4 linked regions of the Lonchura striata genome follow. The protein of the gene in region 4 interacts with the protein of the main gene of each other region in a pairwise test. Links are inferred from orthologs where the notes say so. Each region holds a gene or a part of one and is shown on either strand. Other genes may lie near its edges.

Region 1 (7,848 bases), on a different chromosome or scaffold from region 4:
AGCATTAAATAGCTTCCAGCAGAAACCAAACCACAGCCCTCAGCCTCCCCCAAATAACCCCCCAAAACCAAACCAACCAAATTCACAACAACAAAACAAAAAGTAGAATAAATGAGAAAAACAAAACACAACACCCACCAAGAAAAATAGCAAACTGTTTTTGTGACTGATATTTATCACTAAAATTAAAAGATAGACATGTCAATGTTCTGCAAGGGCTGTAAGCATCTGTGGAATATATATAAAAAGCAAGACTCTGTTATGGATTGATTTCAGACTAGATTAAACAAAGCAGAAAAACATATTAATGACTGGAAACACTGAAGAAGCACAACAGCAGCAAAAACAGCTAGCAAGTATCTGTTAACAGCATTGCCATCTAAACCACAGGAAGATGAGCACAGTCAGTTTAAAGGGTCAGATTTAAGGCTCAAGAGAAACCATACAGTCCCAAAGGAAAGTATGAGACTAGGTTGCTATGAATTGTAAACATAGTGGAATGATGGCTTTCTAAATGAGAATGATACAGACCATCTTACTTGCAAGTTGCATCCAGAAGAAGATGAAAAGAAATAAAATTGACTTGTTTGTTGCCGATTTAAAAAATTATGTAAGAATTTAAACATATATTTGACAAAGGTCACTTTCAGCTAATGGATAAGGAATCAAAGAATCACCATCCAGGCAGCCCTTTGCTAGACATTTAACTGGACAGTTAAAATGGGGTGCCTTTCCATAGCCTATGTCATCCTTGTTGGACAGGACTGCTGCACTGGGACACACGGCAGTCAATTAGATAATGTATTGGCTGCTCAGGGTGCCAAAACAAACCAGCTAGGAGGCTATGACTAATACCAGACAGAATGAAACAGCTTTTCCTCACTGACAGTCATTCAGCATATTTCCAAATCTGACAGGACCTCAAAACATTACTTTCAATTCTTTCTACTTCTCTTGTGCCAAAACAAACTGACTCAAGATCCCTTTCTCCTTCCCAACAGCATTTCTTACCCTTTTCCAGCTCACCCCAATGGGGAACTCTAAAGCACAGCCAGAGCCTGCAATGCATGGCTGCGCAGGGATGCAGGGCACCTGGAGCAGCCTGTTCCTGGTCACCTGGAGCCACCAGAACCAGGAAGGCCTGGGGATGGCATTGTGCCACCTCCTGCATCCTGCCCACAGCGATGCCCAGGAACAGTTTCACTTGCTGAGGGGCAAGTAAGCTTCCTCCTTTCCCAAAAGCTGTTACCTGTGAAAGCCAAGCCAGCATAATAATACCCAAATTACATGTGAAAACCAGTTGAGACTGATTTGAAGCCAATTTAACTAATCCAGTACACCTTTGGTAGAAGCAACCTTACAGCTAAGGAAGGTCACAGCTCTCACACATCCTATGCTTTCTCTTCCCTTTATTCATGATCAAGTTAACTCACATTTTATCTTTTCTTTACTCCAGCTCTCCACTCTCATTTGACCCTTCCACCACTTATTTTATTTCACAACTGCTACTCTATTTTACTAAGTTTCTACTGTTATTTCCCTCAGCTCCTGTTTCCCATTTCCTAGACAGAGACCACCATTTTAGTTTCGTCATATTTTATATGCAGTTCACATGGTATAAACCATGAGATTTTTCAGAGCAGTGAGGACTCAAGACTCCTGGCTACAGCTGTCAAGTGTTTACTATGTGGATATCATCATAATGTAGGAGTTCCTATTGCATTATTCAACAGATAAATAATTATACAAATAGCAACAAAAACCTCAGAGATTAAATATCTTACCAATAGTTTCCATGTAGTATATTACATCCCAAGTGGGAAATTAAGAGAAGGGGCAGACGAGTTTAGAGGTGACTCTCATGTTCAGCTACCTCCTCCTTGTTACCTGCAGTTCCCTCCTAAGCAGAGGCTAACAAGGACATAATTCTAACTGCAGCATCAGCACAGCACCAATTAAACCACAACACGAGTTCATGTGTCCTCACGCCTAAAATAAAACTGTGGTTCACCCCACCAAACAGTAAACCGAAAAACTGAGCTGGATGGAAAACAGACACAAGTTACATGTGGATACCTTTTTCACGTTCCTTCACAGCAGGATTTCTACACCATCTGCATCTATACAACAGGGGAAGAGGGTGAATAAAACAACCTCTAGAGCCAGCAAGAGCTGCTGATTCAAGTGGCCGTTTGCTTTTGGCTCCTCTGAGCCATTTACAACACCGTCCCATGAAGTGGAGAGTGTCGATCGCTATCGTACCTGCAGGGCTGGAGGGTGGGAGGAGAGAATAAGTAAATGGAAAACCAGTCACACCTGGGCTACACCGGGGCGATCTGCTCGGGAGGCTGGAAGGAGAGGAATGGCCCCAGTCAGATTCCCGAGACACACCGAGATGGTAAGTCTAGGTCAGGTATGGGATGCAAAAAATTGATCAAGCATTTAACATGCCCAAAGCTTGTTATTGAAATGTTTTACGGCGATTTTAGGGATACTGGCTTTTCTTTTCGACGTCTATGATTCCTCACACGCCATCAAGAGAGTTCGGCTGCTATTGGAAGCTTAAAATGGTGGGAAATTAAAACACTATGGAAAGCGTTTCCCCATCGTCCCCAAACACCTGGAGTTAGCCCAGGTGTTCGAGCAGCGCCGCGGGCTGTGCGTTCTGCCGGTACCGCGACGCCGGTCACAGGAGCGGCAGGCGGGACGGGACCACGAGCGGCCGGCCAGTCCAAGCTCCCTGTCCAAGAAGGGCCATCCCGGTGACACAGGGTGACGGGCAGACGGGCCCGGCAAAGCCCCCGGAACTCCGGCTGCTCTTCTCTGCGCTCCTCCTTCGGCGGGACAGGAGGCGGCCGGCAGCGCGGGACAGGCACGCCCGGCCATCACGGGCACCCTGCACCGGTTGTGCTCCATCCATCCATCCACCCATCCGTCCATCCATCGCTCGGACACTCACCGCGAGGGCTCACGGCGGTGGGGCCACGGGCAGTCCTGGCGGAGCCGGCCCGGGTCTGTCCCGGCCCGGGTCCGTCCCGGCCCGTCCGCGCCGTCTCCCCCTCACGGCATCGGTAACCACGGCAACCTCAAGTCGCGCCACCATTGGCGGGTTTAACGCGGAGCAGCAGCCAATGGGGCGCCCCCCCGGGCCGCGCCTGGCCAATGGGGGCGGCCGCCGGGCCGGGCAGAGCGTGACGCGTTGCGCGGGCGGGGCGGGGCGGGCGGAGCGGGCGGCGGGGCCGCCACCATGGAGACCCCGGGGTAGGGCGGGCGCGCCCGGCGGGGCCGCGGGGCCGCTCCGCGCGGTGAGTGCGGGCACGGGGAGGCCGCGGGCCGGGGCCGCCGCGCGGGACAGGCGAGGGGCGGCGGGGCGCGGCGCGGGAGGCGAGGCAGGCGAGGCGGCGGACCCCGCCGGGGCATCGGGGCCGAAGAGCCGTCGTCTCGGGCGGACCCGCGGGCGGCGCGCCGCGCGCTCTCCGCGCCCGCGGGGCCGCCCGGAGCCCGGTGGAGCCGCCCGGAGGGGGCCCCGCGGGCGGAGGTGCCACCGCCCTGCCCCGGGCGCCGGGCGGGAGCGCGGAGCCCGGGCCCGCCGGTGCCCGCCGTGTGCGCGAGGTGTGCGCGGCGCCGCGCCCGGAGCTTCGAGCCCAGCGGAGCCGCAGCGGGCAGGGCCGCCGGGCCTCGCCGTGCCCGCAGCGCCGCACGGCCCCGGGCGCGGGGCCGGGCGGGGACACGGCGGGTGCTGCAGGGGATGGCGGGGTCGGCGGAGCGGGCGCGGGCAGCCGGCAGCGCCGGGCCCTGCGCTCCCGGTGTGCTCGTACGGGGCGGCCACGGGGCCCGGCGTCCGCGCCGGTGCTCCCCGGAGTCCCCGGCTCCGGCTGCTGCCCTGGTGTTCCCGGGGGTGCCTGACCCCCCTGCCGTCCCTGTGTTCCCTGCCCGGGACTTAAATCTGAATTTTTCACCCTTCGTGTGACCGCAGAACAAGCCGCGCTCCCGCTGCCGGGAGCCACGGAGCATCCTCGGCCCGCGCACCGGGAGCGCGGCTCTCGAGGCTGTAGGAACTTCTTGCGGTGTTTTCTCCCCCGTCTCCGGTCACACACGCGGGGTGGTCGCGGAGCAGCCCGTGCGGGGTGTGGGTGCGGGGGGACAGCCGTGGCCCGCGGGGACAGGTGGCCGTGCCGCCGGCTGGCCGTGCCTCGGGCGCGCTGCAGTGTGTGCGGGAGCAGAAAGTGCTCTGCAGGTGCCGGTTACCGAGTGCTAGTGCCGTGGCTTGGGCTGGGAGAGCTGGGAAATGAAGTCTTGCCGCAATAAAATAAATGCTGATGCTGAACCCAGGCTGTTTCAACACAGAAAAACTGGAGCTGATGACTCAAGCCCCCTCTAGTCCATTTCTCCTCCCGGCTGACGCTCAGGAGACATCGCCAGTGTTCACAAGCAGACAACTGAGTGTTTCTGAAGTGCCTCTGTTTGCCCCATAGACCTTTGTACTTTTTTTCCCCTAAACAGCCTCCCGCTCCCTGTTAATTTTACATTAGTCATTGCTTCCAGATTCGACTGTTTGAAGGAAGAGGTGTGGTTGGATTGAGAGCACTAGTGTTGCATGAACTGGCTTTTCAGTTTTTTCAGCATTGTCAATTTTTGATAAATTGGAGTTTAGTGATTAAGAGATGACAAAGATGATAATGTTTTCCCCTTAACTAATAACTGTATTTCTGAGGTCAACATAAAATAGTTTGTTCATTGCGATATATATATGGGAACCCACTAAATGTGCCTGTTTAGTTTATGAAGAGACAGTAATTCAGTCATGTTCATCGTATTCAAAGTGGAGGGAGTGTGTGTTGGGGGCAAAAGCTTTCTGTTGGCATTTATATCCTGTAATGTTTCTGTTAAACATTACAATGTTATATGTAAGTAAATGTAACCTTACTGCGGAAAGGTAGGTTGCAGTAACTTTCTTTTTCTGTTGAAATTGCTTATGAAGTTCTCTATTGCTGCTGAAATAAGATGCTATTAATATTTTTAATTTAAGGTAGAAAAGCTGATAGCCCCTTTCCTTTCCAGTAAAAACTATTTTTCCCTTTCATCTTGTCAGATATTCAGCACAAATAGCGGTACTGATACCAGAAGTTCTGCTTTGAAACACAGTTGGACAAAGTTTTGTGCAAGTCATCTTCTATGAGGGGAGATAATTAGTTCTAAATTTTCTTAGATCGTCAAAAGATAATGCCTTTTGGAGTTTGCATTTTTCAATAGTAATGCAGGATCCTTTTATAAAGAACAGTTAAATTCAGTCACACAGTGTAAACAAGGAAAGTTGTAGGATACATTGCCTTTTTATAGAAGCTTCTTGCAATAGCAAAACAGGGTCTGTAGTGCATTTTGAGGTATTTTTCATATTCGGTGATAGCATATACTATGTACAAATAATAGTAATCTTAATTAGTACTGTGTGTTTGCTGTTTAGTGTGGAAACCTACATGCACTGAGAAAAGACTCTGGAGAAAAGCTGCATTTTAAATGAACAGAAAACATAAATAAGTACTTCATGTACTTCTGCTTCACTTTATGTAGATTGTTTAAATACATTTAGTACAGATGAAGAGCAAAAGCAGTTCTGAATCTATGGGAAATTTTGTTATGTTTTTTTTTTTTTCTTAATTGTGGTGCTGAAAATAATCCAGTCCTGCAACATCTGGTTATTTGCTGCAGGAAAGTAGTGGCGAGTTCAGGGAGTTCAGTGAGCTTAACAGTAGACTAGTTTGGTTTAGTACCAGGGTAATATACTTAGTATCAGGTTTAGTACTTAGTGTAACGTGGTACAGGAAAACCCCCTAGAAAAGCAAGCAGAACTTGTGATACTTGCCTGGAAAAGCAGAGTAGTGAGCCTGTTAGTGGCCATAGTCTGTGTTGCTCTCAGTTGCTTTTCTGTCATGCTCAGTCACATCAGTGAGTCTGGGTGGGTTTCGTGGAGGTGATGCGGATGAGCAGCTGCGCTCTTTTGTTTTTGGGTGCTCATGGCGTGGAAGAGCAGGGCAGGGTCTGGGAGCAGGGAGCGTTCCTGGTGGGCTGCCATGGGCTGGGACCCTGCTCCAGGAGCGCGTGTGTGGAGCCTGGCCCTCTGCGTGTGCGGAGCCTGGCCCTCTGCGTGTGAGGAGCCTGGCCCTCTGCGTGTGAGGAGCCTGCCCCTCTGCGTGTGCGGAGCCTGGCCCTCTGCGTGTGAGGAGCCTGGCCCTCTGCGTGTGCGGAGCCTGGCCCATTGCGTGTGAGGAGCCAGCCCCTCTGCGTGTGAGGAGCCTGCCGCTCTGCGTGTGCGGAGCCTGGCCCATTGCGTGTGAGGAGCCTGGCCCATTGCGTGTGAGGAGCCTGCCGCTCTGCGTGTGCGGAGCCTGGCCCTCTGCGTGTGAGGAGCCTGGCCCATTGCGTGTGAGGAGCCTGCCGCTCTGCGTGTGCGGAGCCTGGCCCATTGCGTGTGAGGAGCCTGCCCCTCTGCGTGTGCGGAGCCTGGCCCGCTGCGTGTGCGGAGCCTGCCCCTCTGTGTGTGAGGAGCTTGGCCCATTGCGTGTACGGAGCCTGCCCCTCTGCGTGTGAGGAGCTTGGCCCATTGCGTGTACGGAGCCTGCCCCTCTGCGTGTGAGGAGCTTGGCCCATTGCGTGTACGGAGCCTGCCCCTCTGCGTGTGAGGAGCTTGGCCCATTGCGTGTGCGGAGCCTGGCCCTCTGCGTGTGCGGAGCCTGCCCCTCTGCGTGTGCGGAGCCTGGCCCTCTGCGTGTGCGGAGCCTGGCCCATTGCGTGTGCGGAGCCTGGCCCACTGCGTGTGAGGAGCCTGGCCCGCTGCGTGTGCGGAGCCTGGCCCTCTGCGTGTGCGGAGCCTGGCCCTCTGCGTGTGCGGAGCCTGGCCCATTGCGTGTGCGGAGCCTGGCCTGCTGCGTGTGCGGAGCCTGGCCGCTGCGTGTGCGGAGCCTGGCCCGCTGCGTGTGCTGAGCCTGGCCCTCTGCGTGTGCGGAGCCTGGCCCTCTGCGTGTGCGGAGCCTGCCCCATTGCGTGTGCGGAGCCTGGCCCTCTGCGTGTGCGGAGCCTGGCCCTCTGCGTGTGCGGAGCCTGCCCCTCTGTGTGTGCGGAGCCTGGCCCTCTGCGTGTGAGGAGCCTGGCCCTCTGCGTGTGCGGAGCCTGGCCCATTGCGTGTGCGGAGCCTGGCCCGCTGCGTGTGAGGAGCCTGCCCCTCTGCGTGTGTGGAGCCTGGCCCGCTGCGTGTGAGGAGCTTGGCCCATTGCGTGTGAGGAGCCTGCCCCTCTGCGTGTGAGGAGCCTGGCCCATTGCGTGTACGGAGCCTGCCCCTCTGCGTGTGCGGAGCCTGGCCCGCTGCGTGTGCGGAGCCTGGCCCGCTGCGTGTGCGGAGCCTGGCCCTCTGCGTGTGCGGAGCCTGGCCCATTGCGTGTGCGGAGCCTGGCCCTCTGCGTGTGCGGAGCCTGGCCCATTGCGTGTGCGGAGCCTGCACTGAGGCTCCACGGCCTCCCTGGACACACGGCTGTCCTGAGCCTGGACACACAGCTGCTCCACAGCCTCCCTGGACACACGGCTGCCCTGAGCTGTGTTTCTACCTTGTACAGCAACCATGTGGACATCTCCCTGGGAACCTGTGTAGGTGCGGGGCAGAATTTTCAGCATTTTTGGTCAGGTTGTGGGTTTTTTTTTTCTCAAGCAAAAAGATGATGTCAAATCCTTAGGAATATGGCATGTACTGCCAGTCCAAAATTAAACTAGTTTGAACCTCAGTAATGAAGTGGGAAAAGAGAAAGGCCTGGCATAGCTTTGTGTGTGAGTGACCAGAAACGAGATGTGAAACTGGGC
Region 2 (7,561 bases), on a different chromosome or scaffold from region 4:
TGGACTCCATGATCTGGGAGGTCTTTTCCAACCTTAAGGAACCTGTAATTCTGTGGACAGTTCAGACTCAAACATCACCAGCAAACCAGCTGAACCTCACTCCTCTTGAATTAAGGAGATAAATGACTTTAATCCATCTGCTACTTCCAGCTCTGGGATCCGCAGCACTGGAAGGATGTGGAGCTGCTGGAATGAGTCCAGAGAAGGCCAGGGAGGTGCTCCAAGGGCTGGAGCTCCTCTGCTCTGGAGACACCTTAGAGCCCCTTAGTGCCTGAAGGTGTTCCAAGAGGGCTGGAGGGGGACTTTGGACAGGGATAGAGTGACAGGACAGGTTGAACAGGGCTTGGAGCAACCTGGTGTGATGGAAGGCCTCCCTACCCATGGCAGGGGATAGAATGAGATGAGCTTTAAGGTCCCCTCCAATCTAACCCATTCCAGGATTCCACGATCCTAAAGAGGCTTCTTTAACTTTAAATTTTGAAACTGCTTTTTTTTTTTTGCCTTGAATCTCTCCTACAGTCACCTCAGAATTCCCACTTTGCCAGCAGCACTGGAGGAACCACTGGACCCTGACTCAGAACACACACAGACGTACCACAGTCTCTCCTGCTGAATTTTTCTTGGTTTTCCTTTTCTTTTTTTTCTTCCGTGGCTTGTTACTCGTTGCCAGCTGCAAAGACAAAGGGAAGAGCTGTCAGCATTCCCAGGGGTGCCAGCTCCATGGGAAGAAGAGCATTTCCCACAGGAAATCAGCATGCTGAGGGTCCTTAAACGAAACCAAAATTCACCCTTCAGTGTTTGTTAGTGGGTGGAAATCAAGACACATGGAGAAAATGGAGGAAAGCACCAAAGATTCAAAAAGGGCAAAACCTCAGCTAACTTTCACATCAGTGTCTGAGGCTACAAAATCGAGAGAGAAACAAGTTCAGCTGTGCCAGGTGTGGAGGAAATGCTTCAGCCTCTTCCAGTCCCAACACCTGACAAAGGTCCAAGTGCCAGAGTGGCTCTCCCCAGAGATGCAGCTGCTTCAGCTCAGGATGCTGGGGGCATTCCCTACCCTGCTGGCACAGCTGCTCTTACCCGGACTGCACAGATGGGAAGCACATTTCCAGGCTCTAGCAGGTAACTCAGCAAGGGATCACAGCATCATGGGATGGTTTGGGGTGGAAGTGACCTCGAAGTTTATCCAGTTCCTATCCTCTGTCTAAGCAGGGACATCTTCCACTAGACCAGGTTGCTCCAAGCCTTGTCCTGGCTCTACCCAGGAGCAGCAGCTGCCTGCCAGGGCTCCCACATCCTACTTGGAGCTCTGGGAGCAGCCACAGGTGTGTCTGGCAGTGCTGGCACAGCCACCTCACCAGGTCAGGACCCCTGGAGCCACTGCTCACACAGGGACACACTGTCCAGAGCACTCACAGCCCCTGGGCTGGGAGAGGTCACTGGCACAGCTGGAATGCACAGTGGACTTTGCTCCTCTGCCACCCAAACCAGGGACACAAACCCCAAATACATAGCAAACAAGTGAGACCAGGGCCCAACCCCCTTTGCTCCCCCAGCATTCTTCTCTGGTGAGATCTGGGCATGCCTTGCAATGGGAAATTGTTAATTAAATACCCCTTTCCTTAGAAAATCCTGCAAGGAGACACTTCTGGGCTGATACAGACCACAGGAGGAATCTTGACATCCAATGACAACAAAGTACTATGGGGAAGAAGAGGTTCAGTGTTCAGCTGACACTGCTTGAAGTCCTCACATCCCCTCTGTGAGACCACTCCTCCCTGGCCCGACCCCAGCGCTCACGTGGGCACAGCACAACGCCTTCCCCGGGTGCCTCCCCTCTGCAGCCGGCAAATCCCTCTGGATCCTGCATATAAACCCAGCCCCAGCAGCAAAGTGCTCGTCCTGCCCAGACAGGAGTGAATTCCCGGGCAGGAGTGAGTGTCCCTGCCGGGATCCCTGGCAGCATTACCGTTCTGTGTGGCTGCTCGGCCTCCTGCCCCTCTCTCTGTCCATCACCGTCCGTCTCCGGAGGGCTCCCAGCCCCTTCCTTGCTCCCGTGCCTGCTCCCCTCCTGGCTCCCTCCCGCCGTGTCCTGCTCGCTGAGCCGGGGCTCCGGTCGCTCCTCTCCGGCTGCCGGCTCGTCCTCTGACTCCTCAGCTGGGATCTGCAAACACAGGGATGGAACTGCCCACGGATCTGATCCACCACTCCTCCTGCACACAGATGGAGGTCTGGACACCCCTCGTGTCAAGCGTGTCACCCAGAGGCTGCCCACAGAGGGGAGCACAGGACTCCCATGATGTGTCCCCTCACACCATGGACTCCACTCTTCCCTTGGAAGAGCTTCCAGACGTGGCCTTGCCCACGCTCACACAGCCAGGCGCCGGGGAAGGACAGGGACTGGATGGGGCTGGAGGAGGTGTCTGGGAAGCAGGACCGGGCTCTGTCACCCCAAGGACCCAGCAAGGCCCGTCTGACATCCAGCACTGGGATCCGGCAGTGCTGGGAAGGTGGCAGGGATGTTCCTAAAAACATTCTCACCAGTCCAGCTCTGACACCATCCAAACCCAGGCCTCTCTCCCATTTCCTCCCGGTCCAGCCCCAGCTGCTGCCCCCCACCCAAACCCATCACTGACCCCAATCACTGACCCCAAGTCACTGCCATACACACTGTCACCTCTGCCACCCCCTCAGTCACTGCCCCCCTGTTCCTTCCAGTACCCCCAAAGCCCGTCAGCCTCTGCTCCCAGGTCACTGTCGCTCAGCAATGTCCCGACTGCCCACCCGGCTCGGTCACTGCCCCACAGCTGACCCCCCAGAAACGTCCCCCGAGTCCCCGCCAGCCCCAGCACCCGCCCCCAGCCGCTGCACCCCGCGGCTTCGCTCCTCCTCACCAGCTCGAAGCGGTTGCTGACGCCGGCGCGGGGCGGCCCGCGGGGCCCCTTCCCGGGGGCTGGCGGCGGCCCCCCCTCCCGGGCGCGCTCCGGGCCGGGGCGGAGGCCGAGCTCGCCCAGCCCCGGCCCCTCCTGGCCGCGCTGCTCGCCCCGCAGCCGCCTCAGGGCCCGGCGCGACATCGCCCCCGCCCGCCGCGCGCCTGCGCCCGCACCGCGCCTGCGCGCCGCCCGCGCCGCGCCCGCCCGCCGCCGCCGCGCGCGGCCATTGGCGGCTGCGCGCAGGCCACGCCCAGGCCACGCCCCCCGCGCGCCGACGTCCCCGTCGGGGCCCGCGCGTGGAACGCGTCCCGGAGCGGGGAGCGGGGAAACGGGAACCGGGAACGGGGAAACGAACGGGGAAATGGGACACGGCCCTGAGACACGGGGAAACGGGGAACGGGAAACGGGGAAATACACGGGGACACGGGGCACGGGAAACGGGGAGACGCGGCAGGGCCCGGGACACGGGCGGGGACCGGGCGCAGGCTGGGGTGGGGGCGCGCGGGAGTGGGGAGGGGAGCGCAGGAATGAGGTGCGGGGCGTGCCCACGGTGCTGTGCGGGGTCACGGTGGGCACAGCCCGGGGCGGATGAGGGCTGGCGGTGGGAGATGTGCGGGTTGAAAGGTATCCCCGATCCCCTGAGAGCCCGCAGCACCCTCACCCCGCTCCCCCATCCACTCAACAGCGGCCACGCGGCCCCAGGGCAGCCCAGCGGGTTTATTATGGAGGGGACATACAGAACAGCCGTGCCAGCCCAGGGCACCCCGGCACAGCCAGGGCTTGGCACAGAAGCGGGGCCGGGGGGCGAACGCAGGGGCTGTGGGTGTCCCACAGCAGGATCCAGCCCCCAGGAGCTGCCCCGCAGCGGGATCCGTCTTCCCGGGGGGCTGTGGGTGTCCCGCAGCAGGATCCATTCCCTCGGGGGCTGGTGGCAGGGACGCACGGGGATGGCAGGGACAGCGGGAACGGGTCCTTTTGCCCCCTGGTCCATAATGTATATAAATATAGAAGCTGTGTGTATCCATCCTATGTATATATGTACATCGGGGGGCTGTGCCACCCCCGTGGCGACCTTCACCGGGCCGCCCGGCCCTTCTTCACTTGAGCCACGCGTCGCTGTAGAGGGAGCGCGCCTTGGCGTGGCGCCGGGACGCGGCGCTGGCGTTGAGCACGGCCACGCTGCGGCGGCTGGAGCTCACCACGTCGGTGACGAAGCCGGCGCAGTCGGAGCAGACGTCGCGCAGGACCGAGCCCTGGGCGTAGATGTGGGGGAATTCCTCCTCCACCCGGCGCCAGCACGGCCCCGAGAGCGAGCTGCGGCACAGGGCACCCCGTCAGCCCCCGCCGGCGGAGGAGGAGGAGGAGGAGGAGGAGGGGAACGGGGAGGAAGGCTCAGGGACTCACTGGAAGGGCTCCCTCCGGCGCAGCGGCGGGGCCCTGGGCAGCAGCGAGCCCGGCAGGCTCTCGAAGCCCAGCGCGTAGACGGGGATGTGAGCCAGCTTCTTGGAAGGCATCTTCATCTGCCGGAATGCGGGAGTCAGGGCGGGACGGGACAGCGACAGCGAAAGGGACAGGGATGGGGTAGGGATAGAGCACACAGGGATGGGGATGGGTCAGAGTGACAAGACAGGACAGGAGTGGAGTGGGATGGGGCAGGGACAGGGAGAAAATGGGGCAGGAGAAGGGCAGGGCAAGGGGCACAGTGGCACTGCTCAGACAGAGCCAGTCCCTTACCTTTAGACTGCAGGAGCTACAGACAGACCTAGGGACAGAGAGAGGTGGGTGAGAGGGCCCATTGTGGGGACCTGCTGCTGCCCTCCCAGCCCTGTGACACAGCACAGCATGGCACAGTTGGGCACAGTGCTCACCGCTTGCAGAAGAAACACGACGTGGGCCAGGAGAAGAGAGGAAACTTGGCCCTGCAGCAGCAGCAGACCTGTGGGCAGAGCAGGGTGAGCTGGGGTGGGTGGGTGTGGACACACGGTCCCCAGTCCCTCCAGCCCCCATCCCCATTCCCACCTTGCCCCTCCGCAGGCTGCTGTACAGCTCCTTGCTCTGCAGGAACTTCTCCATCTCGGCCTTGACCAGCACCCTGCGCACGTTGATCATCTCCTCCACAGTCAGGGCCAGGCTCTCCACAGGGTGGCTGAACTCCTGTGACGGGGGGGATGTCACTGCACTGTGACACAGGGCACGGTCCAGAGCACTCCTGTGCCAGGGCAGAGCCTCCAAACATGGGCAGAGCACCCCTGGCATAGGCAGAGTGTCCCAGGAGAGGCAGGCTATTTCTGGCACAAGGACCCCCCAGCCACCGTGTATCCTTGTGCCAGGCTGCCATGTGCCCACGGTCATGCTTGCCTGGTGTCCCCAGCCCCAGTGTTCCCAGCTGAAACCCACCAGCCAGAGGTGCTTGGAGCTGCTGGCAGGGGCAGCACTGGATCCATCCTCTGGCCTCTCCTCCACAGCTCCGAGGGCAGCCCGGGGCAGTGCTGGGCCATCTGGCAGCGGGTGGCAGCTGGCAGGGACAGAGCCTGCGGGGAGGGACAGGGAGGCTGTGGCCACCACCGCTGACGGGCATGGCACAGAACCCCTGGAGACAGGGACATGGCACCCCCGGGGGTACCTGAGCGGGGCCGTGGCTCGGGCTGCAGTGGCTCCGGGTCCCGTGGCACAGCCTGGTCACCCCCCAGTTGGCTCTGCAGCTGGGCCAGGTCCTGCTCCGAGAAGGAGCGATCCCTTTTCAGTGGCACCTCCGTGCCCGGAGAGTCCTCGTCCTGCAAGGCCGTGGGCACCGTGTCACCAAGGGCACCCTGGCACCCCCGTGTCTCCCCACCTCTGCAGGTTCTCCCTTGCCTCGGAGAGGTTCATCTCCTCCATCTCGGCCAGGGTGGGCGCCTTGAGCAGGACGCGTGGCCGTGGGCGCGCGGGCACGGCGCTGGCCGGGCAGCGGGACAGCTCGAGGCAGGAGCTGGAGCTCAGGCGGCCGGCGCAGGCGTGTGGGATGCAGGGCAAGGAGCTGTATCCTGCGGAGGGACGGGCTCAGCGCCGCGGGGATGGGCACACGGTGACACAGCGCAGCGGGGAGGGGACCCGGGTACCTTTCTGCTCCACGGGCCGGAGCTTCCGCTCCTGCCTGATCTCCTCCAGGATCTTCTCATGGAGCGTCCTCTGCTTCTGGGGCAGCGGCCGCAGCCGCCGCTCTGATGCCTGCGGGATACACAGATGGGACCTCAGGTGTGGCCATGGCTCAGGGGTGGCACCCATGGGACCCACCAACACTGTCATGACAGGGAGGTGGCCCGGTGCTGGCACTCACCTGCTTCAGGGGGGGCCGGGAGCGGATGAAGTCGAGTATGAGCTCGTGGGCATCTTTCTTCACCCGGGGGGGGATGTCTCCATCCACCTGGGGAGGGAAGGGGGTCAGTGCCAGGCTGGAGAGTGGCAGGAGGGGCTGGCACGGTGGCCACGCTCACCATGACCTTGCGGAGTTTGTAGTTGCGGGCACGGATGTCCTGCATGAGCATCTCGAAGGGCGTGAGCTGGTACTCGGTGGGCAGAGGGTTGAACTGCTTCTCCTGCACCTTCTTCAGCTTCACACCGTGCCGCAGCTCCCGCATCAGCTGCACCCACAGCCGGGCCTGGGGGGACACACGGACACGGTGTCAGCACCCACCCGTGCCCAGCTCAGCCCTGTGCCCAGCTCAGCCCCGTGCCCAGCTCATTCCCCGTGCCCAGCTCAGCCTCCGTGCCCAGCTCAGCCTCCGTGCCCAGCACAGCCCCGTGCCCAGCTCAGCCCTGTTCCCAGCTCAGCCCCATGCCCAGCCACACTGCTGTACCCAGTCTGTGTTGCGCAGGTTGCCCAGATCTGCCACCGGCCGCTCCTCTTCTTCCTCATCCTCCTTCAGCTTCTGCAGTAGCTGTTGGGACACAAGATGCTGTCACCTTGTCCTGGTGGCACTGAAGGTGCAGCCAGGACTGTGCCATGGGGCTGCAGCACTGAGGTGCACCCCAATTCCTGGTTCCCAGGCAGCACAGCAGTCTGGGAGAGGCTGTACGGCCAAGCACCGGCACCAGCAGCCCTGGTTGGCATGGGCAGAGGGAGCAGTGCAGCCTCCCCCATTCCTTTGTCACTGCAGGTGGTTTCCTCGGCAGGGCCCTGGTGCCAGCAGCCCACGCTCACCTCCTTGGCATCGCGGATCTTGGCGAGGAAGGCCATGAGCTCCACGGTCTCTGCGAAGAGGGCGCGGCACACAGCCTGGTAGTGCGCCGGGGCGCCGGCGGGGTCGGCCAGGCGGGCGGCGCAGCAGCGCATGGCCTGGCCGAAGGTGCGCACCGAGCGAGGCGGCCCCTCGCCCCCCTCCTCCTCCTCATCCTGCCCCCCGTAGCCCTCGTCGGCCGTGGCGCAGCCGCTGTCCTCGGAGTCGCTGTTGGTCATCAGGTCGATGAGCTGCTCCAGGCGCGGGCTCAGCTCCCGCTCCTCGTTCTCGTCCAGCCCCCAGTCCAGCGCCCGGTACACGGCAAAGCCCAGCGACTGCACCATCTGCGGGGGACAGCACCGGCTGGGGCAGCGTGCACCCGGCACCAGCTGGCCCCAGCCCCTCCTTGGTGCTGGTCCCGTCCCAGGACCT
Region 3 (7,735 bases), on a different chromosome or scaffold from region 4:
TTCTTTCCTTGGGGCTCCCCTGCAAACCCCAAAGAGGCAAACACAGAGCCAGGCTGCCACCCAGAGCTCTGCTCCTTTCTTTCCTTGGGGCTCCCCTGCAAACCCCAAAGAGGCAAACACAGAGCCAGGCTGCCACCCAGAGCTCTGCTCCTTTCTTTCCTTGGGGCTGCTCAGCCATCACAGACAGGTGCCATGGACTGCGTGCTCCCTTTTTCCTCCTGTTCTGCAGAGCCCAGACGGGACTGGTGCCATGCTGTCCCTGCCTGCAGATCCTGCTCCCTGCCCTGCCATTCCAGCTTCATCCGCACAGACGTGGATCTGCCCTGGCTGCTTCCCTCTGCCATCCCATGGAATTGTTTCACTGTCACCCTGGCAGGGTAAGGTCACCCCTCCTGCCGTGTCAGGGACAGCAGCAGGGCAGCAGCTGCCAGGAGGGCTCCCCCTCCCAGCTGTGGGGTTTGGGAGGATGGAAATGGGGTTCCCAGAGCCCCAGCCAGCCCAGCAGCCCACTCACGATGATCATCCGGCAGACGTGGCCGCGGCACAGCTCCGAGTAGGACGAGTAGTGCATGTAGGCCACCCAGCTGCCCACGAAGATGCCCAGCCACACCACCAGCAGGTACTTCACCTTGATGCCCGGGAGGCGGCCCTGCAAGGGAAAGGAAATGCTTTTGAAACCCTTTCTGAAGGGCAGGGCTTTGCCCAGGGCAGCAGCAGCTGGCCAAGGACGGCTCCTGCCACACGCACCGACCTGAGCGCTGGGGAAACCTTCAGCCTTTTTTATATATATTCATCAGTCTCTTATGCAACTCCTGCTGCAAGTAGGTCACTTAAAATTCCCTAAAAGCAGAGGGATTAGCAGGCTGGGCTGCAAGGAGATGGGTGCTGTGCATCCCTGGGAGCTGTGGTCACGTCCTCCTGCTCTCCTGCCCTGTGCAAGCCTGGGGTACCCCAGAGGGGCTGCAAGAGCTCTGCTCCTGTTTGGGGGGACCCCTCTCAGCAGAACCCCCCCTTGACAAAGCCCCACGGGCAGGGGAAGCTCCCAGCAGCACTTCCCGTGTGGGAGTGGGCGAGTGACAAACCTGGGAGCTCACGGGTGATGCTCTGTGCAAACGACTCGGAGGCTCTCAGCAGGATTTTGGTTTTGCTGGCTCTGTTCCTTCCCCCTGACCCTGGCACAGCAGCACTGCTGCCATCTGGCCTCCTGCAAGAGAGGCTGCTCACCTGGCTCCCGTAACGGAGCAGATCCCGGCGGTTCCAAAGGGCAGGGAACGAATCCTTGCACTAAACAAATCTTTCCATCCCATTTCTGTAGGTAATTCTACAGAAACCTTGGTCTTTGACCACCTCCAAACCCTCCTCAAGACCTGCTGCTGGGGGATAGGGCTGGATCTGAGTGAGTGCAGCACCTTTAAAACCTGCCAGGGATCCTCACTTGGGTCTTGTAGCCCAAAACCACTCCCCACCTCCAAAACGCTCCTCCTCAGCCCCTTTCCAGGAGCTGTCAGGGCTCTGGGAGCCACAGGAATGGGCAGTGAGGGTGAGAGCAGGCAGGTCTGCCTCGAGATCGTGACATTTCTCCTGTTAATTGGAAACCCTAAAGTGTGAAGAGGGAAAGGGTGCCCAGTTTGCCTGTGAAGCAATGGCACCGCTAATTAACATGAAATTAAATTAAAGAGAAGCCAAGCACAGCCAGGCCTTGGCAAAGACAAAGCGTGGGGTGAGCTGAGAACCAGCTCATGGCCCTGAAGTCAGACACACTGAGACCCTGAGATCCCCCCCAGCACAGCAGCCCCCCAAAACTACCCAGGGTGGGTGCCTGAGGCCCCCTGCCCTCAGCAAAGGGGCTCTTCAGGGACTTCCTGCTAGAAATATGTCTTAGAGAACCTGGAATAGCCAAAATGTCACTTTTTGCTTATTCTGACTTAGAATCCATCATGTTCCTGTGGGAGAAGCAAGTCAGGACTGCGGGCATGGGGAACTCTGGCTGCATCATCCCCAAAACGGTGGAAAGAAACGTGGGAGTGGGGGATGCATTTCAATGAGAGGTTCCCCTGAGCTCTGCTTGGATTTTGGATTTTGAGGGTTCCTCAAAGAGGGTCTCTCTCCCCATTGCCTTCCCTGCACTGAAGGGTGTCGCCCTGTGAGAGTTGCTGTGTTTAGTTTTAGAGTGACTCGAGGATATGAAAGTGACTTTGGGCTGGGGCTGACTTCAAAGGCAAAATGGATGCAGCATCAACAAAATCCTGCTCCATCCCTGTGGCTCCCCTGGGAACACGGGGGTTGTTTCCAAGCACTCCCAGCTCTGCACCCACCTCCTGCCAGCACCCTCTGCCCACCGGGTATCCCCTCATCCCCTCCAGGGTAACCCCTCTGGTCCGGGATCTTTGCCACAGTCAGGCTCTCTCAGCCCACGGCTGCAGAGAAAACTCCCATTCCAGCATCCCTGACATCCTCCAGCATCCCTGACATCCCTGGCCCCAGCATCCCTGGAGATCTGAGGGAGGTGCCCGGCCCCTCGGAAGCTCAGAGATGGGAAGAGGAGGAAAAAAAAAAAAAAAAGAAAGAAAGAGAAGGAAGGAGTCATCCCTTCCCTGCTGCATCGGCGGCTTCACCCAGCGCTGCGGGCTGCCCCGGTGCCCCCAGGCTCCGGCACGGCGGAGCGCGGCGCGGGTTATGCAACCGCTGCGGCCCCGGCTGCTGCCCCAGACCCCCGGCGTTCCTCCAGACCCCCGCGGTGCCGCTGCCCGGCCCCCAGCTCCTTGCACCGGCGTCGGGGGAACCGAGCCGGAGCGTCCCTTTGTGCACGGCCGGTGCCAGGATGCGGGAGACGGGCATCCCTGAGCCCGCACCCTCCATCCCAGCGCATCCCCCCTCATTCCCAGCGCATCCCCGAGCCCGCATCCTCCAGCGCGGCTCATCCTCCCTCTTGCCGGTACCTGCAGGCCCTTGGACAAGGGGCAGAAGAGCACCAGATGCACCAGCCGCCGGATCCTCCGCATGCTGCGGGCACCCCGCGGCCGCGGGCTTCAGGCTCCGGGGGGCATGGCCGGGCGGCCGCGGCCCCCGCACCGCCGCCGGGGCCCGGGGGCGGGCCGGGGTCCCGGGGAATGGGGGCCCAGCCTCGCCGCCCGCTCCGCCGCAGCGCCCGGCCCGGCCCGCGGGGCTCGGCGGCTCCGCCCGGCGCGGGGCGGTGCGGGAGGCGGAGGCGGCGCTCGCAGCTCCGCCGCAGCCCGGGGAACCGGGGGGATGCTGCTCCGCTCGGCCAAACCCAACCCAGCGCTCCGCATCTGGGCATCCCAGCCGGCGGTGTCATGCCGCAAGCCCGAGGGGTCCATCCACTGGAGGAGCCATGCCCATCCCATATTCCGGGGTTCCGCTGGGAGAGCCCCTGTGCGGTGGGGTGAGCCTGGGGATGGGATCCCCGAGTGGGTGGAACCCACTCGGGGATCCCATCCCCAGGTTCACCCCACCCACTCGGGGATCCCATCCCCAGGCTCACCCCACCCACTCGGGGATCCCATCCCCAGGCTCACCCCACCCACTCGGGGATCCCATCCCCAGGCTCACCCCACCGCACAGAGGCTCTCCCAGCCCTGCTTGATGATCCTGGCAGAGCAGGGAGGGCTCTGTGGAGATGCTGATCCCACCTGGCCCCCAGCATTCACAGCAGCTCCAGGTTTATTCAGAGCCATTTGGGGTGACAGGCGGCCAGACTCCCTCCTTGTTCCCCATAGCAGGTAACCTGTGAGCACAGCTCGGGGGGCTGCAGCCCCTCAGGCCTGAGCCCTGCCACCCCTTCTCCTCCTTGCTGTGTCTTTTCCCCACCCCGAAACCCAACAGCAGCGTGGGCTGTTCCTCCCTGTTTGCATTGTGGCCAGGCAGGGAAATCTCACAGCAAGACTTTGTGTTCAATAGGCCAGAGACAGCCCCATCCAGGGGGATCCTGCATGCACATTCAAGTTAAAGCAATGGGGATGGAGCAAATATAATGATGGGAAATGATCCTGTGTGCACGTTCAAGTTAGAGCAAGGGGGACGGAGCAAATAAGATGGGAAATTATCTGGGAGACTCAGTCACGAGGGCATTGTTAAGATAATTCCTTGCCTGCTATCAGCAAATCTTCAGATTATCCGTTTGCCCCCTTTTAGTGGCTCAGGTTGTTCCTTCATTTTGAATTTGGCTTAAAATGACCTTTGAAAACAGACTGGTCACTGAGAGCCCAGATCCCTGCTCGGTGTGAGTGCCAAGCACTGAGTAATCAGGGCCTAATGAGCAAAAGCCTTTGCCAGACTAATCCAAATGATGGTGATGAATAAGGAGCATCACACAAAACTGCCTGAAACCTCCCAAATCCTGCAGTGTGCTTGCTGCCTGCTTTTAACCCCGAGGAGGTCCCTGCTGCTCCAGTGCTGTGCCCTGACCTCTGTGTGGGCTGGGCTGACATTGCCTGCAGCGGTGACAGGGACAGGGACAATGAACGTCACCTCGGCCACCCACAGCCCCCATCCAGGCAGGTATGACCACCCACTGAAGCCAGGATGGTTCTCCAGCAGGTTCTTATTTTTAGTGTTAATTCACACAGGAAAAAAGAAAAGCCTCTGAGATTTATTTTTGATGGTGGGGTTGGTAATTTGGGAAAGAGCAGGGACAGGAAGGTGGATTGCTGGATGCATTCCACACTCCCTGCTCACCCTGCTGCTGCAGCTCCTTCTGACTTGAACTCTGATTTTGGAGGCCAAGAGTGGGAGAAGAATTCTCAATGGAGATGGGAAATGACACACCTGGGCCAGGGCTGAGGGTGGCTTGAAATCCACAGAACTCTGCTGTGGGGCTCTGCAAAATTCAGGTGTGGATTGTCCAGCGAATCTAATTAGGAATGAGCAGACTATCCCAAGCTGTAATATGCCAAGTAATTAAGTGATTAGTATTGATTGTTAGGATGCCTAATGAGCAGTTATCACTGAATGATTAATTAATCCAATCAAAAGAGTAATAAAAATTCTGCAGGTGTGATGATACCCAACGCACAAGGGAAGGGAGATCTCTCCCCATGGTGCCCATGTGCTGTTTCTATCCCAGATACCTGGCACCAGGGATGCTCTGCCTGGGCTGCTGCCCCTGTGCAAGGTATCTCTCCCCTCCCCAAAATCCCCTGGCACTGCCAGGATGGGCTCCAGCATCAGGCAGGCAGAGCTGTGTGAAAATGCTCCCACAGGCGCTGTCAGCATGCAGAAGATGCCGGGATCAGCCAATGCTCAGCTCCTCCCTGGGACTTCTTTCACTCCCTGCCTTGATTAAGTCGCTTCAGTTTCTCCTGGTCAAAGCCCTGCTAATCCCAGCTCAGCCCGCAGCGTGCTGCGCTGGCCTCTGATCACTTCCCTGCCAGGCGGTGGCTCTGCGGGCACGTCCCCAAGGGCACCGTGCCCCCGGGACATGGCAGCCACAGCCCCACAGCGGTCATTTGCTGGCCCGTGATATTTACCTGGCTAAATGAAAAGGAGTAAATGATCTCCAGCCAGAGATAACAGCAGTGCAGAGCAGCCTGGCTCGTGAGCAGGGACCTCCAGCCATCCCTTTTTCCATCCCCTCATCCCCTCCAGGGCACCCTGAGCTGCCCACCTTCCTCTGGGTGGGATGTCAGAGTTGGGTGACAGCTGGGGACAGCCCAATGCCATCACCGGCAGTGCCCAGAGCTGCTGGTCAGCAGGGGAGTGCAGGACCCCAAACCCAAACAGGGGCACATGCTCACCCCCCTCTCCTCTGCCATCAGGATCAGCCCCATGGGCACAGAGGGATTTCTGCCCCGGGCGGGCTGCGATGGCTCCCGGCATTCCCAGGCATGGCCGCAGCTCCGGAGATGATGGATCCAGGCTTTAATGCTCTTTTCTGTGCATCTTTGAAGGATTTGAGGCTGACCGCCCGCGCTTCCTGCGCGGCATCCACAGCTGGCACTGCACAGCCCGTCAGCTGCCTCTGCTGCCTGCCGGCCCTGCCGGGCTCAGCACAGCGGTTATAATTAGAAATGCTAATCAGCTCTTGTGTTTCTGGCTTGACAGCCCTGCCACCCCCAGCACAATCTTCCCTCCAATCTGTCCTGTGCTTGCCCCCTCCGCTTCTTCTCCAAACCCCTGCTACTTGTAATTAAGCACTACGAAGTTAAGGGGGGTTGAATGGGGGTGCTGGGGCTCGTCGGATGCTTTGGGCCAGGATTGCAGCCCTCACAGAACTCCTGGCTTGCTGGGAACCATTTGGGGGTCTCACCCTTCATTCACCACCATCACCTTGGGCTGGGGACACCCCAGGGATGTCCCTGGCCCTGAACTATGAGGTGAAAGAGAGGGAAGCTCAAGGGTCTGCAGGCAGTGCTGGGGTTAAAGGCAAAGGGTGGTGGCTGTGGCTGGGAGCCCTGCGGTGCTGGCTCTGGAAGGGGAGCTTCTCTCATTGGGATTTCCATCATGTGCCAACCGTGGGCGCTTCCCAGCCAGGGAGGAAAGGGAGCTTGCAAAGGAGCTTGGAGAAGCAGGCTGAGCAAGCAGATCCCTGCACTGCTTTAGATTATGGAGTTATTCTTCATCAGGTCGTGCCCAGAGGATTCCTCCCTCACCAGTGGCCACGGACAGCCCCTGCCAGCCCCCAGCTGCTCCACATGAGAGCCAGGGCACAGCTTGCACCCTGGGCATTTGGCTCCCAAAGTCAGGCTTGGCCAGGGAGACATTCCTTGGAGCAGGCATGGGCTGAGCTGGCCTCAGAAGAGCCAGAGATGCACAGGTGGGATGAACAGCTCTGGACATGGTTTTTAAGTCCCCATTCATCTCCCAGGGGCTCCCTGTGTATCAGTTTCAGTGAGGAGAGAGGCTGCAGTTTGGAGGGTTGATGTGCAGAAGGTTTTCAAGAAGGCAGTGGCTGTGTGAGCAAAAGAGAACCCGCCCTCACCTCCCCTGTCCCATGCTTCACCTGGGACACCTCTGCTCACTGCAGCATCTCCCAGTGCCTGAATCAACAAAGGGCTCTCCCTCCTGAGCACAATTTATCCCTGGAGAAAGGGTAATAAGAGAAACAAGGAGGTATCACAAAGAGAGCATGGGAGGAACAGGGCATGGTGGCTTCAGTGATGATGCACTCGTGAAAAGGCACCAGCAGCACAAGCAACTGACTGGGAAAGCTCTGGGGGAGAAGTCAGATTGCATTTGTCATGACTAATTGACTCCCTCCAGCACTGTGGTCCAGCCTTCACGCATGGCATGAGCAGGGTCCCAAGCATCCAGGAATTAATGAAGGTCTGACCCTGTCTGCTCAGCCACTTGAGTTTTGCCAGTGCAGACAGCTGGCTTAAGAGACCCTTTTATCCTTTACAGATCAGATCAATTTGGATAGTTATAATCTAGTCCTGGTGAAAGCTCAGAGCAGACTTTATTGCCCAACCAGCTCAAGGAGAAAAAAAAGCAAGCAAGAGGGAGAGGTCATGCTGAAATATTGATTGTGCTGCTCCCACATTGGCCTCGGCAGAGAGCTCACCTGGGACAGTTTGCCTCTATCTCCTGCTAATGCTGCTCCATTGATCTTCTGTGACAGGCGGCAACTACAAGATTTTTTGAGGTCAGAGTCATTAAGAGGCATTAATCAATAACAGAGGAAACTGAGAGAGAGCAACTGTTTATTTCATGCAGACATATATTCCCCGTGTGGATTTTAGCCTACTGAGGTGTGCGTGGTTTATTTCAAGGGAGGAAA
Region 4 (7,200 bases):
GAACTAATTTTTTGCTACTCAGGCCTTGAAACCATACCAGGATGCATCTTTCCCTTCAAGGCTGTGCCCTTCCAGCTGAGGTGCTCTGCAGTTAAGTGGAAGTCCCAAGCTCTGGACTTTCTGGAACAGTTGTCCAGAGAGCAGCACCTTACTGTAGGGATTCCAAACATACCTAAAAATATAGGTCACAAGGCAGGATGCCCTGCACCACCAGGGGTTGATCTCAAACCCTTTCAAACAGTCAGGTGCTCAAACCTTGCCATCAGGTCCCACAGGCACACAAGTGCCTTTTTATCTCCCTGGGAGACCATAGTAAATCATTTAACTTGTGAGAAGGCTGACGTCAATCAAGTCTTTTATTAATGTGCATGTTATTTGATGGAAAACTTTATGTGAGAATTGAAGTCAAAACTACTACCATGAAGTGAAAACACTATTTTATTTTTATAAAAGGCAATAATTAAAACAAACCCTACCAGTGTGTACATTGTACACAGTTGAATGACACTTACAAGAATGAAGTCTCCATATACAGGGATTACAAGCCCACACTGGTAAAGGATGCACACAAGCACATACTGAACTTCACAGATGCCTCAGCTCCAGATCACAGTACCATTACTCTATAACCACACCTGCACTGCCATTATTAGCATCCACACTACTTTATTCCACTACAAACTGTACATACACAGAAAGCAAGAAGTTTATTCAGAGAGCGCATATATTCGCAGAAAATACGTATTTGCTGGAATAATCTCTCACTCTTCTGCTGCCATCTTCAAGAGATACTTCTTGTCAATCTTGAACAGCCTCCAGCCCTCCTCAGTGGACAGATCTGAGGCACCCCTTCTCTTGTAGAACCTGATGGAAGGTTCATTCCACTCCGCGACAAGGAAGTGCATGCTGCTGCAGCGGCACTTCACAGCCACCTGCAAAGCCAATGCCACACGGTTACAGCACCTGGGGACGGCCCCAGTGACACCCAGCCAGATTACTCAGCAACTGGCTACTGCCATAAGCCACTGAGTTCATTCCAGCAGCCACTGCAGCATTTCTCAGCTTACCAGACTCTAGGCAATGTTTTAAGCTGTCTAGAGTCCTGCCACCTCCTTTAATTCTTGTTTAGACTTTGCACTTACACATACCTGACTCAAGTTCTTCAGAATTTCTGACCCAATACCAAGTCCTAAAAAAAACCAAGAAACAAGAAGCTTAAGTTTTACATCTACAGAAGCCCTATGGGCTTTAACTCATCTAATTTTGCAATAGGTACCTCTGTACTCAGCCATCACGTAAAAATCTTCAAGGTACAGCAGTTTTCCAATCCATGGATCATAAGTGAAGTAATACATGGCAAAGCCCACAATGCATGTTTCTGAAACAAAGGGTGTAACTTCAGCTAGTCAGAGTTTACAAGGTAAAAATACTAAGTTTTACATGCATGTTTAAACATACAGATTCTCTGGGACATGCAGACATTTGAAACTAGGATACAATTAAAAGTGAAGTTTGCAAATAAGCACACAATTGAAAACTCAAGTTCTGGCAAATTTGTATCAGCTTAATAAAACAAAAAATTGCTCTGTCCATACCCTGAAATCCTCAAAAGCACTGTCATAGTAAGTGCAAACATGGCCTTTTTCTACAAAATAATGCACACCCTACTGATTCATTTCTAGTCTGGAAGACAAGTACTTTACACAGCAGCTCACAATCTAGATGACTGCCCCAGCTCTGCTTCCTTAGGAACAGTCTGTCAAACCCTGGAAAACACTGATCCTTCTATGTATATTTCTCAGTAACTACTGTGCCAGAAGGCCTATTTACAGGCCACCTTTATAGCAGCATTTCAAGCACTTCCACTTATGCTTCCACTGAGCATCACACTGTTTTCTTTACCTTCAGCACCAAGAAGGTAAGTAAAGCTGCAGCTTCAATTGCAACTCGATGGCTCAAGAGTTGAGCCAACTCTTGAGCCACAGCCAACTCTTCCAACAACAGCCCACTCAAAACACAAACCCTGAGTATTTTAACTACATCTGCCATAACACTCTGCACATACTGTAATAGAAGCGTGCAAACAGGTTTCTGCCATCTACTGTGTCTTTGGTAAAGGTTTGGGAATAGCACTTGTCCCTGTAGGCCTTACCTCATATTATGATCATCTACTTTATTGTGTAACGGATCTTTTAGTTACCTCCCCGCCCATCCATGTACACAGAAGGGCCATGTACATGGCGAAGCTAGAGACTGTAACCTGAAGATTGGGGACAAATTAAAGAAAAAAATGTGATTCAACAGAATTACATAAAGGTAAGTCAGGGTCAAACAAGAAAAGCCATTTAATAATTGGAGTCAAGCACATTATGCTATACCTGATCTCCCATGCTTTCAGGACTAGCAACCACTTCAGCAGAGTATCACTATACATTATTGAATTTTACCAGTTAACCTAGTCCTCCTACCCCAGTCCAATGGTGGAACCTCATCTACAATCACTAATACTAAGCAAATGATGCTTCTCTGTATTGAGCATCCAAAAGTAAGTATCAGGAAGCCTCACCTTCAGATGACCACTGGTCTTTCGGCACTTCTGCAACCAGACAGTGGTAGAAAGGGTGCTCGCCAAAACCATCCTCAAGCAGCTCTAGAAAAGTAGAATACACACGCACCTGAGACACAGGCACTGTCACTCGGCCGCCAACCGGGTGAGCTCTTGCAGCCTCCGTACCTTTCTCAGTTAGCACCACCTGGTCCTCCATGTCCTCGTATTTCGCCAGTTCCTGGAAGAGAAGGAGGTTGTGAGCGGCCTCTCCCCAGCCCCCCTCCCTTGCGCAAGAGTTTGTTTTGCTCCGGCACCGGGCAGCGCTGTCCCCCCGCTCCGCCCCGCGCCCCGCCCGCACTTTGATCAGTCGCAGCAGGTCGGGACAGTCCTCGGGACGCGCGGCGCGGATGCTGAACGAGGCCATTTTCGGCGACGCTTCCCCCTGCGGCCCCCTCGGCTGACGAGTCCCCGGTGTGTGAACAGGAGGAGCAGCTGTTTCTTCATTCGTGTCCCGGGCGCGGCGGCCACCTGCGGTCAGTCAGGCTGCGAGCATGTCCCGGCGGCGTTCGGCTGCTGACGGTCCGGCTCGCTACAGCTGCTTCCCCGGCTCGGAGAGTGCAGCCCAGCGCCTCGGCCGCCCTATTTAAAGACGTCCTCGCCCTGCCTTCCCCGACCATCAGCCAATAGGAGCGCCCGCGGTGCTCGCCCTCAGCCAATGGCCGCGCCCCTCCCCGGAATGTTGCCCGGGCCTGCCGGCAACAGCTGCGGCCGTCTCGTGACTCGCCCTGTCCCGCGCTGCGCACGGTGCCCCCTGGCGGGGCTGGGCGGAGCTGCAGGGCGCGACCCCGGCGGCTCTGCCTGGGCGGGACCGGCCCTCAGGGAGCCCCGGCACCGCCGGCCCTGCGGCTTCCCCCGCACCGCCGACCCGGCTTCCCCCGCACCGCCGGCCCTGCGGCTTCCCCCGCACCGCCCTGCGGCTTCCCCCGCACCGCCGACCCGGCTTCTCCCGCACCGGCTGCCGCGGGACCCCGAAAACCGAGCCCGCCATTGCGCTCAGCCCGGGGCAGTGTGAGGAGCCCTGGCGCCGCCCTGGCCGCAGAGCGCGGGCGGCCCTGGGGCAGCTCATGCACCGCTGTGAGCAGAGAGCGAAAAACCCCTCGGTGTTTGCGGGGAACGCGGAGCAGTGATCTGTACCCAACCGGGCGCGGGGGAGCGTGTCTGGCGCCGGGGTACGCCCCGGGCAGGAGCGTCCTTACGGAGAAAGGTTCAAACCACCGAAGGTTAACCCTGGGGCTGGGACGTTTCCCAGGCTGGCACACGCACCGTAACCCGCCTGACTGGGGGGAAGGGGTTGTGCTGGGAGAAACACGAAGGAGTGGGGTTAAAGCAGGGAGAGCTGCCAGTAGTCTGCCATAAGGGAGGCTCCGACGCCATCCCGATGGAGTATGGATGTCACTGAGGAGAGAGGTGGGTGTGATGAGGAAACTTCATCTGAGGAGACTCCACGACATGACTTTGGAGTATGAAAGGATGGAGGAATTATCCTCAGCCCTGTGCTTCCTCTGGACATTACCTAGGGATACTGCTGTGTGCTGAGGAATGAGCTGGATCATGATCTTGATGACCGCGTGGTCCATGGACCTACAGCTGGGCTACCCAGAGAAGCGCAACTCTTTGCCATATGTGTGGTTTTCTGTTCACCCTCTTCTATTAGTTGGCCCACTGTCATGTACATTCTTAGATATTGTAAAGGAGCTCATTATCTTCCATTTAGCTTTATTTGACTTGTTTTAAGAGTGGTTTGGGGTATGGGAAGACACTAAGTCACAACACACCCACATTTTTTCATGTATCTGACAAGCTACAAGGTTGGCCTTCACTTAGAGAGAAGGACCAGCATGGAACATGATACTGCAAAAGGATTGTATAAAGAAGTGTGTATAAAGTGTGTGTTCGGGTGGCTGGTGTTAGCACACAGTGGAAAGTGCCTGAAGGCCTGGGAGAGTAATTTAGGATTTATGCAAACACCCTAACTGGCTCACTTTACCCTCTACTAGAGCAAGAATAGAGATGCCCAAAGAACAGAATAATTTCCATATTACTAAGCAACTGCCAGTGGCTAGTAGTAGAAAAGTTAAAATTTATTTCATGGTTTGTGAGTCTGAAAATCCCTCAGGACAGGGCATTTAGTAGGGCGACTGCATCTGAATAAACTATCAAGGAACAGACTCTGCTTAACAACATACCTTTAATGAATACGGATATTTTCGTTCCCTAGAAATGATTAGACTGGGATCAGAAGTGGGAAATACTGTCTCTGTGAAAGACAACAGCCTTTGTGTTATCTCAACTCTCTTTGTTTTGCATTTCTTGACAAAGAGGAAGTCACATTGTCAGGAAACCTACTGCTGTGTAAGAAAACAAAGTGTCTGGTTTCTTTCTTCTCAAGTCAGAAAAGTCACATGATTTAGAAGTAGAAGTTGAAGTCTCAGCAAAAAAAGACCCAAACATTTTCTCCCTTGACTGTTTTTGAAAGTCCTGCTTTAATTTGCTCAGAAATATGCTGATATTGTGTTGCTTGAGATAATACAGTTCATTTGATTTAGCTTTCAAATTCACAAGGCAGAGGAAAAATATTTAAAAAAAATCATGATATGTCAAAAAAAGTTTCATGAAACAATAGGAAATGTGGAAAATTTAGTAAAAAAAGGAAAATTAAAATAGCTAAGATATTTATATTTCAGAGACTATAGTATAATTACTTAGTTATGTATTCTTAAGGGTATTTTTCTAGAATAAGTAAGTTTAATTAGAATGCTAAGGGTATTTTACAAAAAGGTTCCAAAAGAACTCAGTTTGTGAATTAATCAGACTGATTTGGCATGTGTTTTACAGCTTCTTCCTTTTGTCTCTGGTCTGTTTGTCTTTGAGCAGGTTTCATGTCATCTTGACGTAGCTGAGGCCAATGATGAAATCTTTAATGACCTGCACAGGGCTTGGATTTTATCCTTCAGTGGTCACAGCCTGTTACCTGCCCTTCTCTCCAAGGAATGAGTAATGGCAAGTCTCCTGAAAGGATCAACATTTTTTAAAATTGTGCAAATATGTGTGCTGGCAGGTGGGTAGCAAATGAATTTAAGGTAAACCAATGTTGAAATAATCTGTTATAGTGAAATATGCACTGAACTCTGGATTAGCTCTTCTGTACCAGCCAGCAGCTTTCCACGGGGAATCTGTTGATTGTGAATCCATCTGCATTTCCAAGAGGGTTGGACTTTGGTGTTTGAGAAGTTAAAATGGTTAGAACTATCTCAAATGTGCATAATTCCTATTATTCTTATTGTATCTTCCCCTAAATATTACTCATAGGAGAAACAGAAAAATTTTTGCAAAATAGCAAGTGGCACTTTCTTTTTTCTATCATGCAACAGGAACTTTTATAAACAGCTGTTAATAAAAGCATATGGAGTGCATGTAGTGACTGAGGCAAGTTTTCCCCACATCCTGCCCAGAGATGGAGGTCTTTTCTAGTCTGAAGATACAGGAAATAACCAAGCCATTTCCCCCAGATCCTTTCATGGTGATGGAACAATTTATTCAGAGAGTTATGGGACCCCATCTGCACTTGGATCAAAAGCATGTTTTTATTTGCATCTAAATTTTCTAAGGTTCTCTTTCCTTGGAGGGTGGGCAGAAAGGCTCAAAGTGGGCACCAGCCTTCTTTACTGTTCAACTAATCAGTCCCTTCCCCTGTTTTAATTTTTGATTTCCTCCTTTGCTAGGAAGATTCCTTGCATTCCTGTATGAATGCCTCTCTCATGCCTCAGAGGTTCTCTGTAATAAATAAGAGGAGAAGGAGAAAAAAAAATCCTTATTCCACATTTAAATGTAGTGAATAAATGATTTTGTCATTGTACTAATAAATATTTCCAAGTATTTTAATCCAAGTTGTATGTCTGTCAAATGTCTGGAGCAAAATATGGAAAATGCAATTAATATTCAGGGTTGACCTGTAATTTTTCATGATTTTTGGACATTTGGGATTCTCTTATTGTTTTCAACTGAATGTTTTCTTCTTAATCCTTCAACCTTGCATTGATATTTATAAGTTCACAGTTGCTTCTGATGTTTTATTCAAGCCACTTAAAATTACAGTTTATCAGCACTAGGCTGCACATAATTAATCTCTGTCAAAATAGTCCAAATACTAAATAAATACTGCATAAGCAATGCTCAGAATTCAGGGTAAATGCAAAATTAACAGTTTCATGTGATCAAGCTACATGAATTTCCACATGCTGGCAATAAAAGGCCCATAATTTTTCTTTATTATCTTTGAAAACATTTTTTAGATCATTAGAACCCTATTCCTGTAGGCTAATGCATCTTATTTGCCATTTGTAATTACGCAGTTTAACGCATTTGGGATTTAGACATAACTAATTATCTGCCTGAATCCAAAAATCATCTATATCATGTGTGCAAATGATTTGGGGTATAAAAGTTATAGAAATAAATGATGGGAAAAAATCCAGCCAGGCCTCAGTTTTGGATACAATAGAAGTATTGTATTTGGATACAGTAGAAGTCCCTTTGGCTCTGATCCTGCAGTGTACTTAAATCAGGGGGAAATATCTCAGGTTTTAAAAAGA

What was found.
Region 1: the proteins of SAT1 (region 4) and CCDC148 interact in binary tests that used the Homo sapiens proteins (3 or more experiments, as listed by UniProt). The two-hybrid records come from large-scale screens. The link is inferred for Lonchura striata from reciprocal best matches to the Homo sapiens genes SAT1 and CCDC148.
Region 2: the proteins of SAT1 (region 4) and TCF25 interact in binary tests that used the Homo sapiens proteins (3 or more experiments, as listed by UniProt). The two-hybrid records come from large-scale screens. The link is inferred for Lonchura striata from reciprocal best matches to the Homo sapiens genes SAT1 and TCF25.
Region 3: the proteins of SAT1 (region 4) and DIPK1B interact in binary tests that used the Homo sapiens proteins (3 or more experiments, as listed by UniProt). The two-hybrid records come from large-scale screens. The link is inferred for Lonchura striata from reciprocal best matches to the Homo sapiens genes SAT1 and DIPK1B.

The regions. Positions count from the first base shown.
Region 1 is NC_134610.1:625,608-633,455, reverse strand, and holds the start of CCDC148 (coiled-coil domain-containing protein 148), read right to left. Parts: upstream 3,075-7,848; 5' UTR 2,960-3,074; intron 1-2,959.
Region 2 is NC_134615.1:22,908,294-22,915,854, reverse strand, and holds the start of TCF25 (ribosome quality control complex subunit TCF25), read right to left. Parts: upstream 3,075-7,561; coding exon 2,895-3,074; intron 2,165-2,894; coding exon 1,970-2,164; intron 671-1,969; coding exon 596-670; intron 1-595. Other genes in the region: SPIRE2 (protein spire homolog 2), read right to left, coding at 4,031-4,247, 4,338-4,453, 4,668-4,695, 4,802-4,869, 4,953-5,087, 5,331-5,464, 5,557-5,707, 5,787-5,956 and 5 more. UniProt on the Homo sapiens protein: Component of the ribosome quality control complex (RQC), a ribosome-associated complex that mediates ubiquitination and extraction of incompletely synthesized nascent chains for proteasomal degradation.
Region 3 is NC_134624.1:8,715,399-8,723,133, forward strand, and holds the start of DIPK1B (divergent protein kinase domain 1B), read right to left. Parts: upstream 3,075-7,735; 5' UTR 3,003-3,074; coding exon 2,940-3,002; intron 650-2,939; coding exon 515-649; intron 1-514.
Region 4 is NC_134604.1:103,766,702-103,773,901, reverse strand, and holds SAT1 (diamine acetyltransferase 1), read right to left. Parts: upstream 3,088-7,200; 5' UTR 2,973-3,087; coding exon 2,907-2,972; intron 2,787-2,906; coding exon 2,567-2,786; intron 1,379-2,566; coding exon 1,277-1,378; intron 1,190-1,276; coding exon 1,149-1,189; intron 933-1,148; coding exon 762-932; 3' UTR 421-761; downstream 1-420. UniProt on the Homo sapiens protein: Enzyme which catalyzes the acetylation of polyamines. Substrate specificity: norspermidine = spermidine >> spermine > N(1)-acetylspermine. This highly regulated enzyme allows a fine attenuation of the intracellular concentration of polyamines.